Tribolium castaneum: one gene and its partner. The protein of the gene in region 2 binds, or shares a complex with, the protein of the main gene of each other region. Links are inferred from orthologs where the notes say so. Each region holds a gene or a part of one and is shown on either strand. Other genes may lie near its edges.

Evidence for each region. Proteins that work in one complex are often made in the same cells at the same time.
Region 1: the proteins of ND-PDSW (region 2) and NP15.6 are in contact, whole or in part, in a cryo-EM structure (PDB 8BA0), measured with the Drosophila melanogaster proteins. The link is inferred for Tribolium castaneum from reciprocal best matches to the Drosophila melanogaster genes ND-PDSW and NP15.6. Residues at the interface, in NP_651972.1 of Drosophila melanogaster: Trp40, His42, Gln43, Phe45, Thr50, Ile51, Asp52, Ala65, Phe69, Arg70, Arg71, Met74, Val75, Glu78, Ile79, Ile82, Leu83, Arg86, Ala112, Asn115, Trp116, Ile118, Lys119, Ala129, Tyr133, Gln136, Lys137, His138, Arg139, Leu140; in NP_650774.1 of Drosophila melanogaster: Gln101, Phe102, Arg103, Trp105, Ala106, Gln107, Arg108, Glu109, Gly110, Phe111, Leu112, Glu113, Leu114, Val125, Ser126, Pro127, Asn128, Tyr129, Val130, Asp131, Pro132, Ser134, Ile135, Thr136, Leu137, Pro138, Leu143, Glu147, Ile148, Ile149.

The regions. Positions count from the first base shown.
Region 1 is NC_087395.1:21,576,971-21,579,533, forward strand, and holds NP15.6 (NADH dehydrogenase [ubiquinone] 1 beta subcomplex subunit 11, mitochondrial), read right to left. Parts: upstream 1,078-2,563; 5' UTR 1,003-1,077; coding exon 580-1,002; 3' UTR 501-579; downstream 1-500. Other genes in the region: coenzyme Q-binding protein COQ10 homolog B, mitochondrial, read right to left, coding at 1,147-1,600, 1,646-1,725.
Region 2 is NC_087399.1:6,556,850-6,560,955, forward strand, and holds the start of ND-PDSW (NADH dehydrogenase [ubiquinone] 1 beta subcomplex subunit 10), read right to left. Parts: upstream 2,801-4,106; 5' UTR 2,626-2,800; coding exon 2,538-2,625; intron 67-2,537; coding exon 1-66. Other genes in the region: dco (casein kinase I), read left to right, coding at 3,248-3,323, 3,392-3,883.

The DNA of each region.
Region 1 (2,563 bases), on a different chromosome or scaffold from region 2:
GGTTTCACGCATTATATAGGTTTGTGAACTTTGCGTAATTTTACGATAATTTGACGTTTTGCCATTATATGATGTTCTAATTTAAGTGCTTGTATACCAAAGTACGTTTTTGGTTAAATATACAAAATAACAAAACCAACCAACGCCGCTTCATTTTACCCTCACTACCCCCACCAGAATGTTGAAAACGCAACTTGGAGATTGTTGAAAAATGATGAAATGAATATAAGTAATGTCTTCAAAATAATTTCAAAGAAGACTAATGAATTTATAAAAGAAACTATGAAGACAGTTTAATAAAATCATAATCTAAAGAAGAGCAGCTCTATTCAGAAACGACTTTGTAAAGAATATGAGAGGAATCTTTTAATAAATAAGAAAAACTGTAAATGAAACTTTAAAAGAATTTTTGAAAAGACGCAAAGTTGAATCTAAAATAGATTTTGTATAATGTAGGATGTGTAGGTAACATTGGAGAGAACAGAAAAGCCAGTAGTTTTTTTTTGTACTTTTTATTTAACTTAAGTATAAATATTTACAAGTTGAATCTTGCCCTTACTTGAACTTGTCTAAAATCGCTTAGATAATTATTTCGGTATCTCCTAATTCCTCGTCTGATGGCAGTTGTATCTTGGCGGGGTCTATTAAATTGGGGTCGACCAGCGGCAGCCCCATCTTCTCCCTCCTGCGCAGCTCCAGGAAAGCCTCTCTTTGGGACCAATCCTTCAGGTTGTAGTCTGGCGCGTACATCATGAAATAGCCCCCACAGACCAGACAAAGCGTAACAGAAGCGAACATAATCGAGTGCATTGCCGTCCTATCGCTCTCTTTGCCCTTTGCATCAAAGCCGTAAGACACCCAGTTTTTGTGCTCGACTTTCTCGGTTTTGACCGCGTCGGCTACGGCGGTCTCGTTCGTTTTCTTCGACGTCGAGACCAACCTCCGGTTGATCGTAGGCAAGATTTTTCGGAATAAACTACGCTGGAGTATTAACCCTGCCATTTTTACGTAAATAAAACTCGAACTGCTTAATTTGAGGTTAGGTGTGGTGTTATGTCATCTGTCACTCTGACGCAATATCAAAATCCCCAGATTTGAATAAAATAATTTATTAAAATAAAATTGTAAAACAATAACAAACTATGGTCAAGTCCTCACTGGCTCAAGGGGGTGCACGGGCAGCGACTCCTTGCCGTACCGCCTCTGCGCCTCCTTTATGAACGCATCCTCCATTTGGTGCACCAGCTGGTCAAAGAAGAATATCGCTAATTTGGAATAAAGCGCTGATTTAAACTCAAAATTGATGTAGAAATCTATGATGCAAGACTGGGGGTTGCTCCGGAGGCCGGGACTGAACTTCCAAGTCGTCTCCAAGACGTGAAACAACCTCCCATCTTTACAAACAGCACTGACTAGTTCAGGTTCACGTAACGAGACAACCGAGGTGTAGTTTTCAATAACCGGGGGGAAGCCCACTTCTAGGTTCGCCCGTAAAACGGACGGTTCTTGAGATAAGATCACAGATTTGGTGCAGAAAGGTACAAACTTCTTGTAATTTTTCACATCAGCCACCACTTTGTACATCTGACTAGTCGAGAAGCTGAAATGAAGTAATTAAAGCAAGCCAGTTGGATATTTAGCTCACCCCACGAGTTTTCTAGCGAAATATTCGCGTTTTTTGTCCGGAAGTTTGAAGAAGTGCAAGTATCGTGTGACGACTCGCATTATTGGCACTTTGGTTTTAATTAATCGTTAATTAGTGTCATGATTATTTCGGATAAGTCAATTATCACAAACAATTCATTTTTATGGGAATTGAATTTATTTTCTGACATAACACCGTTCTAGTTGCCATTTTAGTGAGTTTCGCCTGTTGGGGTTGGTGCCTCACCTCGGTTTATTTCCGAAAAGAAGCACGTACTTTGGAAAATTTGGAAACCTGGTTTTTCAAAATTGCTTAAAAAGCTGTTTTGAGTCATGGCTAATTTATGGCCAAGGTGCAAACATTTTCTTTTGGCGAGTTGTATTTTATGTTGGTAACAGATCTAGAAAAATTCACGTCTAGAATTTGTTACCAACAGAAAATGAAGTAACAGAACACATCTCTAGTGAAATCGTACAAATCTAAAACCATCTATAAAATACATGCATTCAACAAATAAATTGTTCTTTGCGTTACATCTTCGACAAATCTATATTTCGTATGCTCTCTGCAATATAAGAATATAAGAGGTGTTTTAACATAATAGTTTTACGGCTGTAAAAAACAATACTTATTAGAATCATGGATTGCTCTAATTGGTCAATTTACTAAGTAATTTGTCCAGCAAGAACCACGTGGAGGTTTAGAGCATTCTTGCCAGGAAAAAAGGAATCAAGGACGAGGTAAACAATGATTATTAGAAAATGAAGGGAATAAAGAAATTATTGGTTTGTGTAATGAAAAAATACAACACAAATATCAATCTTTTTTGCATGAAAGTTACTGTAATCAATATTATACAAAATAAAGAATACACAATACGTTTCAATATATGGCACTCAAATTATTAAATTCAATACC
Region 2 (4,106 bases):
TGGGCACCCGACGGAACTTCTGGTGGTACCATGGGTAGCTCTGCTGGTTGGGTTCCACGATCTTTTCTAAAAAAATTGTGATTATACAGGGTGTTAGCGAAATAAATGCATTCCTTTCAAGAGCGTGTTCTACAAGTGATTTTAAGGGGTGTCCTACATACAAAATGTTTAGAAAAAGAATTCCCCTGCAGAGTTATTCGCATCTTAAGTTAAAATAAAAATTATTGAAAAAAATAAAAATCAAATGTGCTATGTGCCATGGCCTTCTTGTTGTAAACACGTTTTTAAACAAAAAATCAAGATTATCTTGTTTTTATTAAACTAGAACGAAAAAATCGCCAAATTTGGTCGAAAATTACAAAAAATTCACCTTTTCTAAACGTTTATTCAACAAAAACTCAATTATTGCACAAAATTTAAAAAAAAAATAAGCCAATAAATCACAAATTATGACAAAAATGACATTACTTTTGCAAGTTCTGAGGATTTAAACACATTTTTAGACCAAAAATCATATTTTTCTTCCTATTTTTATTAAACTAGAACGAAAAAATTAGTAAATTTGGTCGAAAATGACCAAAAATTTACTTTTTCTAAACGTTTATTCAACAAAAACTCAATTATTGCACAAAATTTCTTAAAAAATAAGCCAATAAATCACAAATTATGACAAAAATGGCAAGTTTTGAGGATTCAAACACATTTTTAGACCGAAAATCATGTTTTTCTTAATTTTTTAATTAAACTAAAAAGAAAAAAATCACCAAATTTGGTCTAAAATGACCAAAAATTTACTTTTTCTCAGCGTTTATTCAGCAAAAACTCAATATTGCACAAAATTTCTCAAAAAATAACCCAATAAATCACATAATTATTACAAAAATGGCATTATTTTTGCAAGTTTTGAGGATTTAAAAACATTTTTAGACCGAAAATCATATTTTTCTTCCTATTTGTATTAAACTAGAACGAAAAAATTACTAAATTTGGTCGAAAATGACCAAAAATTTACCTTTTCTAAACGTTTATTCAGCAAAAACTCAATTATTGCACAAAATTTCTTAAAAAATAACCCAATAAATCACAAATTATGATAAAAATGGCAAGTTCTGAGGATTCAAACACATTTTTAGACCGAAAATAATGTTTTTCTTTCTATTTTTATTAAACTAGAACGAAAAAATTACTAAATTTGGTCGAAAATGACCAAAAATTTACCTTTTCTAAACGTTAATTCAACAAAAACTCAATTATTGCACGAAATTTCTTAAAAAGTAAGCCAATAAATCGCAGAATTATGACAAAAATCATATTATTTTTGCAATTTTGCAAGTTCTGTATTTAAACAAGGTTTTAGACCAAAAATCAAGTTATCCTTTCTGTTGTTATTAAACTAAAACGAAAAAATCACAAAATTTGGTCAAAAATGACCAAAAATTTACCTTTTCTCAGCGTTTATTCAGCAAAAACTCAATTATTGCACAAAATTTTTCAAAAAATAAGCCAATAAATCACAGAATTACGACAAAGATGACATTATGTTTGCAAGTTCTAAGGATTTAAACAAGGTTTCAGACCAAAAATTAAGTTATCCTTTCTGTTGTTATTAAACTAAAACAAAAAAATCACCAAATTTGGTCGAAAATGACCAAAAATTAACTTTTTCTAAACGTTTATTCAACAAAAACTCAATTATTGCACAAAATTTCTTAAAAAATAAGCCAATAAATCACAGAATTATGTCAAAAATGGCATTATTTTTGCAAGTTCTGAAGATTTAAACACGTTTTTAGACCACAAGTTTTTCTTCCTGTTCTTATTAAACTAGAACGAAAAAATCGCCAAATTTGGTCGAAAATGATCAAAAAATTACCTTTTTTAAGTGTTTATTCAGCAAAAACTCAATTATTGCGCAAATTTTCTTAAAAAGTTAGCCAATAAATCACAGAAATATGACGAAAATGATATTATTTTTGCAAGCTCTGAGGATTGAAACACGTTTTTGGACCAAAAATCATGTTTTTATTCCTGTTTTTATTAAACTAAAATCACTAAAACGAAAAAATCAGAGGTTTGCAGAAATATGTTAAAACTAGGATAAAATTTGGTCCCCCTTTAAACTAAAATTGACCTGTTTTAGCATTTTTTCCAAACTTGGACAAGACTGGAGATTTCATGGGGTCACCCTGTTTGATATAGAGTTTATTTCAATGATCATTACATAACACACAAAACTGTTAATTGTATGTTCAGTTTTAAAAAATCCATGTCAACCCATTGCATACAGTTCCACAGAAGCCCCAATGTTCAGCAAAATAAAATCTTCACTGCATATTTTGATTTAATTAAAAAAATGTTTTGAGCCATAACCGCTCATAAAACCATAACCGGGACAAAATGTAAAGGGCCAAGACAGAGCTGGACTGCCTATTTAAACCAAAACATTATCTAAAAATCGCGAACATGTCCTGGTAAAACCAGAACGTTTGCTCACTCAAGGGGCAACCACAAGTTTGAGGTTAGTTGGGGCAACTTACCCCGAACCCAAACCGTCGGCGTCACTAGAACATTGGCAACGGAATTGAAGAATTTCTCGACAATATTTCGGGGCTCCACTTCTGGCATTGTTATTTTTCGAAATTAAATATTTTAAGCTTGAACCCTATGACAGTTGGTGACTACGGCGTGAAGTTGGCCACGAGTTGGATAATCACAATTTGGCAATTTCCCCCTAATTAAGCCGAATTAACGACTGGTCATTGTAATTTCAATCGGATTAATTACGATTCGTGTTTTGTGTTTTAATTGTGCGTAATTAAAAAACGGAATGGTGTGAAGTTGGCGACGTGACAATTGAGCGGCCGATCGAGTCCCGACGTACGTTCGGGCCCGTGTTTATTGTTTGGTGATACGTGACGTCCAAGGTCGCGTCTGTGATGAGCCCAGTGGCGCAAGCTGGCCGTCTATTTCTCAGTTGTTTCGTGTGGTGTGTCACCAAAAGGCCATAATGAAACGCGAAATTGCAAAATTAATCGTTCTTGTTTTGCGTTTTTGACGAATCTGTGATAATTGTGAAATTCTAAACACCCCAACCGCTAGCTGTAAATTCCCTAAAAATAAACAAACGAATTTCTAAGCCTTCTAGTTACGTCAAATTTCCTATGATAGTTGGCTAATATCTATGGCTAATATGGCCGCCTGAAGTACGACAGCATTTCATGTCTTTTGTTGTGTGAAGTGAGGTGGAATGGAGCTTAGAGTGGGCAATAAGTACAGACTAGGGCGCAAGATAGGCTCCGGGTCCTTCGGGGACATATATTTAGGTGAGGCGCGTCCGAAATTCCACTGTAAACAAAGGACCCAAAGTACCACGATTTTGCCCATTTCGCAGGTACCAATATTTCCACGGGGGAGGAGGTCGCAATTAAGCTAGAATGCATCAAAACGAGGCACCCGCAGCTCCACATAGAGTCGAAATTTTACAAAATGATGCAGGGGGGAGGTAGGTATGAGGCCCCAAAAAGTCCCAAAATTCACTCTGTTCCAGTGGGGATCCCCCAAATGAAATGGTGCGGCTCGGAAGGTGACTACAACGTCATGGTGATGGAGCTCCTCGGACCATCCTTAGAAGACTTATTTAATTTTTGTTCACGTCGTTTCTCCCTGAAAACAGTTCTCCTCCTAGCCGACCAATTAATATCACGTACTGACTTCATCCACTCGCGGAACTTCATCCACCGCGACATCAAACCCGACAACTTCCTCATGGGTTTGGGCAAAAAGGGTAACTTAGTTTATATAATCGACTTTGGGCTAGCGAAAAAATACAGGGACGGACGGACCCACCAGCACATACCCTACCGAGAAAACAAAAATCTAACAGGTGAGCCAAGGCCGACTTTCGTAACAATTGCGGAACAATGTTTGCGTCAAATAAGCCTTTAAATCAAAGTGTTGTGAAAAAACTTGCATTTTTTATATACAGGTGTCTGTTTTTTGAGCTCCACCATGGGAACTCAGTTATTATAAGAGATACAGGTCGGTTAAATTAAGGCAAAGGTGCGCATGCTGAACAATTATCTGGAAGAAAATTTATTGGAAAAAAA